3 separate regions of the Mus musculus genome follow, and regions 1 and 2 are each reported to be linked to region 3. Evidence: microRNA targets listed by miRTarBase, many of them from high-throughput screens and not tested one by one. Region 3 holds a microRNA gene; each other region holds the end of a gene's coding sequence.
What was found. The annotated mature microRNA mmu-miR-654-3p reads UAUGUCUGCUGACCAUCACCUU and lies in region 3 at 1,307-1,328, opposite strand. An mRNA with a match to its seed (bases 2 to 7 or 8) in the 3' UTR can be bound and repressed. Matches are read on the target gene's strand: a 7mer-m8 pairs with bases 2 to 8, a 7mer-A1 pairs with bases 2 to 7 and ends in A, and an 8mer does both.

Region 1 (4,243 bases), not on the chromosome of region 3:
CTCCAATGGTTACCATTTTTTAAAGTATACGATAAATTTAGTGTTAATTGCCATGAATGAAAAAAAAGAGGTGTAATTTTGTTCCAAAATTAACTTAGTCTCATGGGTTTCTATTAAGTCTTTCAAGCATTCCAGAGAATCTTTTCATATCTCCATTTCTGGAAAGTGTAATCAGTATAGAAGTAATTTGGGACCTTGGAAATGGCATTCATGTCTTTCAGCAGATGCCAAATTTTTGACCGACATGGCTCCCACAATTACTGTTACCATCAGTCCAGTCAGTTAACAGGTTGTAGGAAAAGATTCGTTTTTGCAGATACTGCTAAGCTGTTTAAAGAGAAGAGAAAGAGATTAATTTAGCGAGTATGAAATGTACAGATATTTAAAATATTTTGAATACTTTGTTGGATATATCAGAGGTGTGACTACATTTTTTAACAAACATACTTTTAAGTATGGTTAAAAAAAGGACAAAAACTTAAGCTACTATGATAGAAATACTATGCCAATATGTGTTAGTCAATTAATGTATGAATATTAACTACCATAGGAAGACAGGTATTTAAAAGCTACATTTTAAGGTTTTCTATCATTTTTACACAGGTACAAATCAAGAATAAAACCTGAAACAGTTCCCCAAATACTAAATTGTTCTCAACATCACAGTAAATACACCCAAACCTGAAATTTTCAAAGCAATCTATTTTGTATTTCAGAACTCTCTATCAAAATACTAATTATTCACAAAAGTTTTCTAAAAATAGTAAGACAACAGTTTTATATTAATCATAACTTTTTTAATTAACAAGTAGTGAACAGAACACTCTAGATACTGTTTACTACACACTGAAATAAACAACTGCTGTAAATTAAACCCAAACATTTACAGTAAAATGTGCTTACACATAAATATGAGCAAAATTTATTTAAAGCCCCTGATAGATCCTACATACATGCAGTTACCATGTAAAAACAAGACCATGAGTTGATGCAAAAAAAATGACAAAAATCACTGTCACCAAAACTAGAAAAAAACAATGAAATGGAAACAAAAACACAGTTAATAAGACATAAGGAACCTAAGAAAGCAGCTTTAAAAACAGGACACTCTGATCTTCCACTGTTGAGAATTCCTAATTCTCCAAACTGCCATTTATGAAATGACAGCCTAAGACTCTGTACTTGGAATTTCAAAACATCCCAATTCAGAAACTAATTTTCCCCAAGCCCACACTTCAAATGCAGGAAAAGCACTGAGGTTAAGAAAATATTCCACAGAAATGGTATAGTTTTTAGGAAAACAAACTTACTACTTCCAGAACCTTTCGATTAAGTCTATATTAACAACCATTTTTCCTATTTTCATCCATTACTTTCCAATATCATGTTAGAGATGAATAAATTCTTTGAGCCCATAACTGAAAGATCAACAAACCTGATTTTATTATGACACCATATGTTTGTCATTGGTTCTGCACAAAATTATATACAAAGAAATATATACAAAAATGTTCAAGTATTAAATTTCAATTCAAGGCTTCTGTTTCAAAAGCTACATTTAACATACTTCAGAAAGAGCACAAATTAGTCATTTCAAATAAATTTCCAACTACTTTTGGTTTCTATATCTATGTATATATATATATATATAATTCATAGGCACTGAAATCCATGCAGCTGCATTGTGGGGCTTGTATCCTACCCTTGTAGAAGCAGGTCCGTCACTCCAAGTTGTGAGTTTGGCTACTACCCATTCATGCTCAAGTGCAGTAGAGATTTTTACAAAATGTGATAGACTGAAAAACCAGAGACTAATTTAGGTCTCAAAATCATATTATCTAGCAACAAAACATTTACAGTTGTGCAAGAACAAGATTCCATTTCCATAACCAAGTAACAAAATAAAACATCTTACGTGTAGGATAACTTACATCTTTGGACTGCTGGAAAATACTTAATTATGAACATTTTAAAAATAAAAGACAGCAGAAGCCCTGATATTACCTCTGTTTCCTTATTTCTTATACTACCTTTTAAAATAAAGCAGGAAATGTGGCCAGCAGCTGGTCCCGTCTCTTCTGCCCCAACAGCTGTATCCACTTTAGCACAAAGAAAAACAAGGATGCTAAATACGTATATCCTTTATCAAACAGTGATGTTTCACAAAGAATTTAATGTCTCTTGCATTTCAGAGCATCAGAACACACACTTAAGACAAGTGGACAAAAAAACAGTATTTTAAGGAAAGACTTTTCCGTCTTTGGAAAAACAGTATCGATCATTTCATTAATTTAAACAAGTATTTTTAAATAGGACAAAAGTTTTAGAAATATGGAGAAAAGATTCTTTGTGAAGCCTCACTTTACATGTTTTCATTCACATTTCACAACCTTCAATATCTAATCATACAGAAATTTAGCCTAAATTTTAATACAACAAAAATAAATACTTTCAACAATTTCTTCATACTCATTGATTAGTAATTACTGTGCTGGTCCTCAAAGAAACATTTCATTTATCGTCTTCTAATTAAAACACAGAAATCTGATGGGTATGTTAATTTCCAACTTCTCAAGTGGTGAACTATTAGGGTCTTTAAATAGACTGTATTTCTGCATTTTCTACTGAAAACTATAAGGCATTCATTAAGTATTTTAGGAGACTTGTCATCTCCAGAAAAATACCACATTTGCGCATGCCTCAATACTTATTGTCAACCTCTGAAAAGTTGCTCTACAATTGGAATTCCAATTTGCACCTTGTACAACTCGGAACTTCCATTCAACTTCACCTGTTTGACTGTCTCCAAACTGTATCTCTATTAGCAGGTTTCTGTGTACAGTTGGAACCGATGTCATCCAAGGCCATGTCCACACTGGGGACAGAAGAGCTAGGTACACGCAACTCTGAACAAGGGGACACATTTAACAGCTATTTCAACCAGAAGCAACTTAAGTACATTAATGACCAGCACAAGTCTGTTTCCAGGGTGGACAAGGCCCAAATTAAGATTCCCCTCCCACCACCTTTCAAAAAGAAAAACAAACAGAAAAAGATATCACACACACACACACATTGAGATGTCTGCCCATTAAAGTAGCCTAAGCAGCCGAGCATGAGCGTTACGGGAAGAGATGGATCCTTACCAGGTTGTGAGGCGGGAACGACTGCTCTGTAACCCCTACAACGGAGCCTGGCAGGAAGGAAATCACCTAAAAAAGAAACTGTCAGAGAGATTTAATAGTCACAGGTTATCATTAGGAGTTGGTTACAGTGTCACATTCATGCTTTTAGCTAAACACTTAAAAGATTTAATATTACTTTTTTTTCCGCCTCTGAAATGCGTCCGGTGACGATGTCCCACTAAGGTGTTTGACATGGTGTAAGGGAGGAGAAAGGGGTAAACGCGGATAAAGAGCAGATTACTTGACCCTACATTTTAAGAGACGACGACGCCTTCCGAGCGCACGCCGAGCAGAACTCCACCGACACCTTATCCTTGTCCACATGGAGACACACTCCTCCCGCCGCGTCGTCCTCTTCCCGCGGCTCCGGCGGCTGCTTCCCCACCGGCAGGGCGTAGTCGTGGTCGCCGGCGGGCGAGTCTCTGAAGAGGGAGGTGGTCAGCCGCAGTCCCACGCCGCTCAGTCGGCTCAGCAGGCGAGCTAGTCCGGTCTCGTTGGCCAGGACGGCCCGTAGGTAGCGACTCTCCTCCTGCAGTGCTTGCACGCGCTTGCCCAGCTCCCGATTCTCGGCCCGCAGCTCCTGGTTCTCGGCTGCCAGTCCCCGGACCCGACTCTCCAGCCCCATCACGTACTCCTTCTTCTTGAGCCGATTAAGACGGGCAGCGGCCGCCGCCGCCTTCCGGGGACTCTTGGTCGCCGCCTGGTTGCCGTCGTTGGCGCCACCGCCTCCTGCTCCCGGGGACTTTCTCCGCCTCTTCTCCCCGCCGCCGCGGTCACCGCCGCTGCTGCAGCCTCCGATGCCGTTCAACAGCCTCTGCAGCAAGTCGGAGAAGCGCTGCATCTCGGCGGCCGCGGTGTCGTCGTCGTCGTCCCCCCTCAACAGGCCGCCGCTCTCCGAGCCTCCGCCGGACGAGGACAGGGGCCCGGGCGAGCTGAGCCCGGGCTCCAGGTGCCAGTCCGGTTGCCGAGGGTCCAGCAGATCGGCCAGCTCCAGCCCGGAGAGAAAGTCCATGTCCTCCGGCTCTTCCTTGGGGACCATGGCGATCGCGTCCTCCTCC
Region 2 (4,243 bases), not on the chromosome of region 3:
ATGGGACTCCTTTTATCCTGTTTTTCTTTCAGGATGTTCCAGAGAATTTACATAAGATGGCAGAGCATAATCTCTTGCTTCATTTGAGAAAACTAGAGAAAGATGGGAAGATATGTATGTATCCTTCTGAATATTAATGCCTTTTCTCCTGGCACTTAAACAGTTTTGCAGGAGCTCACCTGAAGTCTCCCTAAGTCTCCCATTCAGTGAAGTAGGTCCAAGTCCTCTGCCATAGAGACACACAGTGCCTGGGGGGACCAAGGGTACTGGCATGTGGAGAACAGGCACAGCTTTTAAGTGAAGTCAGAGATGGTAAAGTGGGAGTTCTGTAACTTTTTCCTGCTGATAGATGAGCTTGTCAAATCAGGCATTGTTATAAAAGTCTAGTCCTTAAAATCAAGAAGTGAGCCCAAGGTTGAATTTTGTGTAGAAGCCTCAGCCATATTGCTTACCTAGTCATCAACAAGATTCGCCTAAGGAAGGTGCACTTTTCCTTACTATAAAAAAATGTGGAATCCAGTGATGTACTTATCTCTTGTTTTTACTTTCTGTTTTTTTTTTCTAGTCTACACAACAACTCCTGTCAAGAAATGGAAAGCCGTCCTTTAGTTACAGATCAGTGAAGTTCTGTCTTGTTTTGCTTTTAGAAGATGGTATTTTCTTTTAGCTATAGATTATATATTTATAGAAAATATTAAATGCACAACTTTGAAAATAACCCTTGATACTTGTAATCCGTGATAATTGTAAAATATGTAAATTACATTTTATATCTGGAGGACAGGTTACTGATCTAACCTTGGTCTTGGAAGGTTTTACCAGAAATTCAGAATCTAGCACTTTTTCAATTTTCTATGGATTAAGTAAAGTGGTTATTAAGAATAATAGATTTTGAACAATTCAAACCAGTTAATACTTTAGAGTTTGATTGTTAGGGTTTCTATTGCTGTAAAAAACAAAAATGACTAAGGCAGCTCTTATAAAGGAAGACATTTAATTAGGGCTGGCTTACAGTTCAGAGATTCAGTCCAGTATCATCATGGTGGGAAGTATGGCAGCCTGCAGACAGACATGGTGCTGGAAAAGGAGCTGAGAGTTCTACATCTTGATCTGAAGGCAGCCAGAACAAGACTGTCTTCTGCAGGCAGCCTGGAGGAGGCTCTCCCAAGCCCACAGCGACACACTTCCTCCAACAAGGCCATACCTCCTAATAGTGCCACTCCCTATGGGCCAAGCATTCAAACACATGAGTCTATGGGGGCCGTTTCTATTCAAACCACCACAGTTATTTGTTAGCATTTGCCAGTAATACTGCTTTCTTTAGCTACTTCAATCAACAGCACACATATCTGCATACGCATTCCTTTTCTTCAGCCCTGTCAATGCCTTTTACATACCAAGTTTATTTCACTTTTCTATCAATTATATCATTTAAGTATTGTTTCTACAGTTCTATGCTATGTTTATTTTCTTGTAACGGTATCCCATAAGCAATTCATAAGTTGATCATTAACAAATACTAAATATACTAATTTAAAATATTATGTGATTAATAATAAGTAATTCTTAAAATTTTATTTTATGTGTATGAATATTTTGCCTACATGAGTATCTGTGCACTCCATGTGTGCAGTGTGCACAGAGGCCAGAAGGGGCACTGGATTCCCTGGAACTGCAGTTACAGGTGTTAGTCACCATGTGTGTCCACAGAATCAAACTGGGTCCTCTAGAAGAACAGCCATTGCTCAGAACTGCTGAGCCATCTCATCTCTCCAGCCCACGACAGCATGCTTTGCAATTTTAGATTTTAGTATAGAAATGGCCATCCGTTTATATATGAATTATATACTAGAAAGTGTTTTCTTTTAATTAGAAGATGGCAAGATAGTCTTTTAAATATATAAATAACATTCTCAAATAATGGTTAGAATAGTGGTACTGCATAGTAATTTCCTCCAAATTAAAACATTCCGTCCTGGAGGGAGACTCCTAAGACTCGGGAAGTAAATGAAACTTAATGGGGCTCAGGAAATAAATAACTCACAAGTCTTAAAAAGTTTCTGAAACTTAAATAATTCAGCAGGTCCCTCCCCAAGGTTATCTCGGCAATACTGATTGCTGGAGAGAAGAGACTTTAGCCTCCTGAGCTGTCTACAGGTAATAGAGGAGAGCTCCAGGAAGATGCCTTTCCTGAGGCAACACCTCCCCACCCCACCCCACCCGCTGAAGTGGGCTTTTCAGTGATGCATTTTTATGCAAGCTAAACACATTTTTTTCTTGTTCCATGTAAATATGTCATATACCCAGAAGTGTTCCATACTACAAAATAACTAAAAACTCAAGAATTAAAAGCCAGTGACCCAGATAACTCACAAATGGACAACAAATGTTTCTCCAAAGAAGATGCCTAAGAGAAAAACTGTTTCTCGGGCTAGAGAGATGGCTCCGCGGTTGAGAGCAATGACTGCTCTTCCAGAGGTCCTGAGTTCAATTTCCAGCAACCACATGGTGGCTCACAACCATCTGTAATGGGATCTGATGCCCTCTTCTGGTGTGTCTGAAGAGAGCAACAATGGATTCACATACATAAATTAAATAAATAATCTTTAAAAACAAAAAAAAAAACTGTTTCTCATCTTTAACCAATACAAAGCCAAACACAAATTGGAACAGGTTCCAGCTTCCTGCCCATTTGGATAACTGTTTTGTTGTTTTGTTTTGTTTTTTTTTTGTTTTTTCTGAAAATAAAAAGAGCAGCCACTGAGGTACAAAGAAACTGGGACCTTTACAATCAGTTGATAGAGCAGCTTCTGAAAGATAAAACAAACTCACAGTATGTCTGAGCAGTTCAGCTTCTGAGAACCATTCCCAAAGCCTGACTTAAGCAGGTATCTACAGGGCTGAAAGAAAAACACCTTAAAAACAGAGATGCCTGACAGATGTTGCATGGTGCATGAATTCCAAAGACACAGTGCTACATGAGATAAGACACCAAAGGCAAACATCAGGATTCCACTTACATGAAGCAGGAAAGTGTATAGAAGGAAAGAATTGTGAATGATTTGGAGGAAAAGGGACAGACTTACTCAAGTTTCAGTAAGAGTGTAAAAAGTTCTGGGCATGAATGGTGACACTGACCACAAAAACACTGTAAACCTGAAAGCATAGTCAGTGCCAAGTGGTGTCCCTAAAGTGATCAGTAATAACTGCCTTCCACAGTGCCACCACCAAAAACTAAAAAATGGTGACACATCAATAAAATTTATAGAATTTAGTTTCATTGGTAAATGAATAGATTAGCTTACCTCTTAGCTGCTCTTTCCCAGAGGGTTGAATACAAACACCATTCAGTTGATCAAATTAGAAAATTTTAAAGAAAAAATCCTTCTTGGTTTGTGTGCATCCCACATGTCCAAGTGGTCCCTATTCTACCTCCAGAGTTCATTACCCCTAGCCAGTCTTAGTCCTAGCCATCATCATCCCTTCTGAACCAGTGAAATGCCTGTTACCTCTTGTTGGGGAAGAAGATGAAAAGGACATTTTGAGCTAAAAATCTGTGAAAAGCCAGGTGGTGGCAGCACACGCCTTTAATCCCAGCACTCAGAGGCTGAGGCAGGCGGATCTCTTGAGTTAGAGGCCTGGTCAACAGAGCAAATTTCAGGACTTGAAACTTGAAAAAAAAAATTTTTTTTAATAAAAAGCCATGCAGTCGTCACATTGCCACAGCATACTTCAGATAGTGCACATTGCAAGTAGATCTTCTCAAAGGGGAAGGATGGGGAACTACTAAATCTATTAGTCATTTTAAAAGCCTAGCAACAGAGCTATAAAAGCTGTGACATCTATTAAATGCTTTTTACTGGGGACTGTGCCAGATACTGCAGCAACAAAGGTGAGCAAAACAACATCAGGGCTTGATCGAGCTCTTGTCCTTGTTATCAAGATGAGATATATATAGTTATGTTTGTTGAGAGTAAAGAAGAATGTGTAAGCCGGTGGTCTATAATAGGCTGCTGACAGAAACGTGAGCTCAGTCTTACAAAGAAAGTGGTAGCCAGAAGGAAATGCAGTATTTGTTTAAATGAGGAAAATTATTCCCATTGGAATAAACTGTATCTGTGTTCCTAAACAGAGAAAATCATCCTGTGTGTGAACTAATTTCTATCAAAATCTCTGGTATTTATAATTGAGTCACAGTTAATCAGAATCTCATGAGAGCATTAACATCACACTGGAACCAGTG
Region 3 (4,243 bases):
GGCACAGTTTCCTAGGCTCTACCAAGAACAGCCCTTAGGATCAGCATTTTTTTCTAGAAAGTTCTCAGAAGCATGTGTGAGATCTGTAGGGTCAGACGAAGAAGGAGCTCAAGCTCGGTGGCCCACCATGCATTTACTTACCCTGGAGAGACCACACCCTTCTGCTAGGCCCAGGCCGCCGCCAGCCATGCTTCCAGGCAGCATTTGCTCCTCGAAGAGAGCTTGCCCTTGCATATTCATTTCGCGTAAAGCAAACACACAAAGGATAACCTCTCTTCAAGTAGCAAACGATAAGGAGCGCTGGGGAGAGCTGGTCCGGTGCGATGACAGATGCGATGACGGTCCGGATGTGAGCCTGAGGGGGCACATTTGGAGGTTACACTTCCAGATGATTCACATGCCCCCCCTTCTCCGCACACCCCCCAAAGGGTTACCCAAGGCGCCCTTACCCAAAATGATGGCCCACCCAGGAGCTCTCCAAGACATATCGCTACAGAAAAAAGAAGCCGACTCCAGAAAACATACACATGGTGAGCACACAGAGAAACAACTTCATTTGAGGTCAGAGAAGGGATATAAAGAACACAGTGGTCTCAGAACACATCACTGGGAGAGGCTGGCATATAGGCACACATCACACAAGTCACAAATCTATCTATCCCCGCCAAGCCCAGGAAGACGACGGATAGCACGCTTTCTTCGGTGAAGATGTCATGTCCTCGGTGGTTTCCCAAGCAGCATTTGATACTGAAAACGTGGATTTTCCTCTACGATTAGTCATTAATATTGTACTCATAGAAGGAGAATCTACCTTTTAAATATCAAAGAACAACTCGATCCAGGATGCTGTGAGCTTGTGCTTGTGTCGACAGAAATGGAAGTCCACTGGGCAGAGTGAGCAGGCTGCCCAAAGAGGCGGTATATCAGACCCAGATCAGACTAACACTCAGTTGGCTTCTTAAGGCCATTTCTGGCCACGCCCCACTCATTATTACATGATCTTCCCCCCCAGCCCCAGACCCTACAGAATCTTCCAGAAATAGTTCCAGAGCGACATTTGATACTGAAAAAGTGGATGTTCCTCTATGATTATCCAGGAAGCACGTAACCATAGAAGGAATATCCACCTTTTAAATACCAAAGAAGGACTGAGTTCCGGGAAGGACCAGGCTTGCTGCTTGGCTCATCTGAAACAGATTACAAGACAAAAAAAAAAAAAAAAATCCCCGCTTCTCAGGCAGAGGAAACAGAATGTTGAAAGGCGCCTCGGCCTCTGTGCCAAGCTGGCTCCACAGGCAGAGACCCAAAGGTGATGGTCAGCAGACATATGACATGAGAAACACACATGTTCTGCAGCTTACCATCTTCCCACTTACCGAGGAGGGCACTGCGCCCAGCCTCATCTCCCTGGTGGATCATGTCACCCAGGAAGCACATGAGACTCAAAACTCAGGCAAACCCATCAGATTGACCAGCAAACATAAAACCACAGAAGGGAAATCTACCTTTTAGATATCAGACTTAAACTCTTGGGACATCCAATAGGACAGTCCTATCTGCGACAGAAGGGACACAATGGGAAAGACTTGTTAGCTGTGGGGGATTCCAGAACGAGACCCCTGACCTCTGGCTGAGTTGGCAGCCCATGAGGGAAGCTCTCAAGATTGCTCATTGGCCCTTGGGCACCTGAGGACATGCTCTGTGGACCACTGACCCCCCACTTACCCAAGAGGGTGCACCTGTCCTGTCACTGCCCTGGTGGTGGCTTCAGCTCAGGCCCATTACCCAGCAGCATTTGACACTGAAAACGTGAAATTTCCTCTATGTTTAATCACAAAAAGCATAAACATAGAAGGAATATCCACCTTTTAAATACCAAAAGATTTAGTCCTGAAGAGAAAGAGCCGAGGCCTAATCCGTCAGAAATGAAGAAGGCAGCAGACAGGCGCCCTCGGCACAGCCCCCAGAGGACACAGATTCCAGGAACAACCTGGCTGTGGAAAGCACAGGCTGTGGAACCCATCTCTCCCTTTGTTCTCTGGGTGGGGGAAGACTGGAATAACCTGCTTTGTCCTAGGGGGCACTTTGTATTCAGAAACATCCCAGAACCACTTGAGATACTGAAAATGTGGGTGTTACCTCTATGATTAACCAGAGGCATAGAGGAGCACTCACCTTTTGAATATCAGAAAGTGAGCGACAGAAGTGTATCTAGAGCCCACCGTACAGTTAAACATAGCCCTGGTTGTCACACAGCCTAGTAGGGAGTTACTGTAAACCCCCACCCCCTCTTAGAGAGTTTATGACAAGAAATCTGTTCCCTTGTGATTTCCAAAACCAGTTCCACACCCATACAGCCCATCCTGGGTACCCTTGGGAGAGATGTCATCAAGGTGGCTGCTGGGGCATCCACGTAGGTGCCACGGAGCACTGGAGACATCAAGGAAGTTTTCTAGGAAATGGGCTAAGTCCAGAAGGCTCCAACACACAGGCTCAATGCATTAGTGTGACACTGTTGGGGATAGGTATAAAAGACACCTTGAGACATGGCTAAGCAGGACATTCATGACTTACTATCACCACACTACCAGGTCCTTACAAGATTAGCTCAAGTTCCTGTCCAATCTTTTTTGAGTACATCAGACACAGAGGCATACCAGTACCGACACTATAAATCTTTGGTTAAAAAAAAAAAAAAAAAAAAAAGCAAAGAAGGACTGAAAACCCCAACTCAGCTAATTAACTCCAACATCTTCGTCATCTTAGCCTTGAGGCCGAAGACAAGTAGGCCAGGTGATAGTCCCCACACATAGAACATATGCTCTGTGACCAGCCCTCCCATATATGTCCAAATAGTGGTGCTGTCATGGGTCATGTTTTAATAAAGTAGGAACTGGCCAGAGAGTTTCATAAAGCTGGGTAACCAAAGACAAGAGGACCCAAGGATGCTGAGGCCTCGCCCCAAAGAGCCAAGGCCCCTCCTTGTATCTACAGCTTGTTAAAGCAGAAAACCTCACAAACACCTTCAAGTGCATGGATAGGTCACTTACCAGTGGGCTACACCTGCTTCCTTTCATAGTGCCCTATGAGGCCAGGAGACCCTAGAAAGAAGCAGGACAGAATTCGTTAGGGGATCTGATAGCTGGTTACGGGAGCAAATGTGTTCATCTGTCCTGACCCTAGGAGCAGCAACGGCAAATGTAGCTGTGTGTGAACTGGGTCTGCTCTTTAGGAACAATGTCCAGCTACGTTTAGGTTCATGTGTGTGTGTGTGTGTGTGTGTGTGTGTGTGTGTGTGTGTGTGTGCGCGCGCGTGTGGTGGTGCCAGTATGCTTGCTTTGCCTATGTGTAGAGGTAGGAGATCAAGGTCTGTTGCCTTCTGTAGTCTCACTATCCATGCGTGCATGTGTATGCATGTGGGCACACCCAAGGAGGCAAGAAGAATACATCCCTAAAGCTAAACTTGTAGCCATCCAGTCTAGGTGCTGGGAACTGAACTATGGTCCTCTGCAAGAGCAACAGTTTTGAGCTGGTTATGGTAACATACCTTTGATGCCAGCGTTTGGAAGGCAGAGGCAAGCAGGAGTTCAAAGTCAGCCTCAGCTACCTAAGAAATTCAAAGGTATCCTGGGTTACAATGAAAACTTGCTACAAAAAAAATGTTATCGAAAATTGTTATATTAAATGAGTTATACAAAAAAATCAATATGGGTGCCACATATTCATAGAGATTCCCACCTTCATCTTGCTCTCATCATTTTTCATTTGATATTTGAGCTTGTCCGTTTGGTTAGATCCAGGCGAACCTGGGAAGGGCAGAGTATATTCTTTAAAATTCTCAAAATCTGAAATGCAGGCTAGACATGTTTTTGCTCAAATCTGTCAATCAATTAAGAAGGAAGCGATGTGATAGAAACTAGATTTTTATGTACAGATTTGCCTTGGGAAATTGGATTATAGGATGATTCATTCAATAAACTCTCAAGTCTCAAAATAAGAAAATAAATAAACAAAAGCACTTGCCATCTGGCCAGACATCTGCTCACATACCATCAGCAAGGGGCTGATGCCCACATCGTGTTCCTGAACCTGACACCGGGTACAGAGAGCCCTTCAAGGAGGGATTTTGTGCTCAAAAAGAGGTCAGCGTTTAATATCTTCCACGAACAAACACCATGATGTGGACACTGTCCCTTGGGGCCTCTTGGAACAGCTGCGGCAATCCTGCCCAGGCTTCTCCTGT

Region 1: miRTarBase lists Crebzf as a target of mmu-miR-654-3p. Seed matches in the 3' UTR shown: 7mer-m8 at 3,081-3,087.
Region 2: miRTarBase lists Lactb2 as a target of mmu-miR-654-3p. Seed matches in the 3' UTR shown: 7mer-m8 at 1,067-1,073.

The regions. Positions count from the first base shown.
Region 1 is chr7:90,443,281-90,447,523 of GRCm38, reverse strand. It overlaps Crebzf (CREB/ATF bZIP transcription factor), which reads right to left. Exons shown (of 1, transcript NM_145151.3): 1 at 1-4,243. The coding sequence ends at 3,433. Among named protein-coding and RNA genes, the nearest start is that of Crebzf, 2.6 kb to the right of the region's middle.
Region 2 is chr1:13,623,227-13,627,469 of GRCm38, reverse strand. Lactb2 (lactamase, beta 2) reads left to right here. Exons shown (of 7, transcript NM_145381.2): 6 at 33-114; 7 at 566-1,572. The coding sequence ends at 609. Among named protein-coding and RNA genes, the nearest start is that of Lactb2, 35 kb to the left of the region's middle.
Region 3 is chr12:109,720,355-109,724,597 of GRCm38, reverse strand. It overlaps Mir654 (microRNA 654), which reads right to left and starts at 1,380; the gene lies at 1,297-1,380. Mir376c (microRNA 376c) reads right to left here and starts at 1,880; the gene lies at 1,795-1,880. It overlaps Mir376b (microRNA 376b), which reads right to left and starts at 1,140; the gene lies at 1,059-1,140. It overlaps Mir376a (microRNA 376a), which reads right to left and starts at 817; the gene lies at 750-817. It also overlaps Mir300.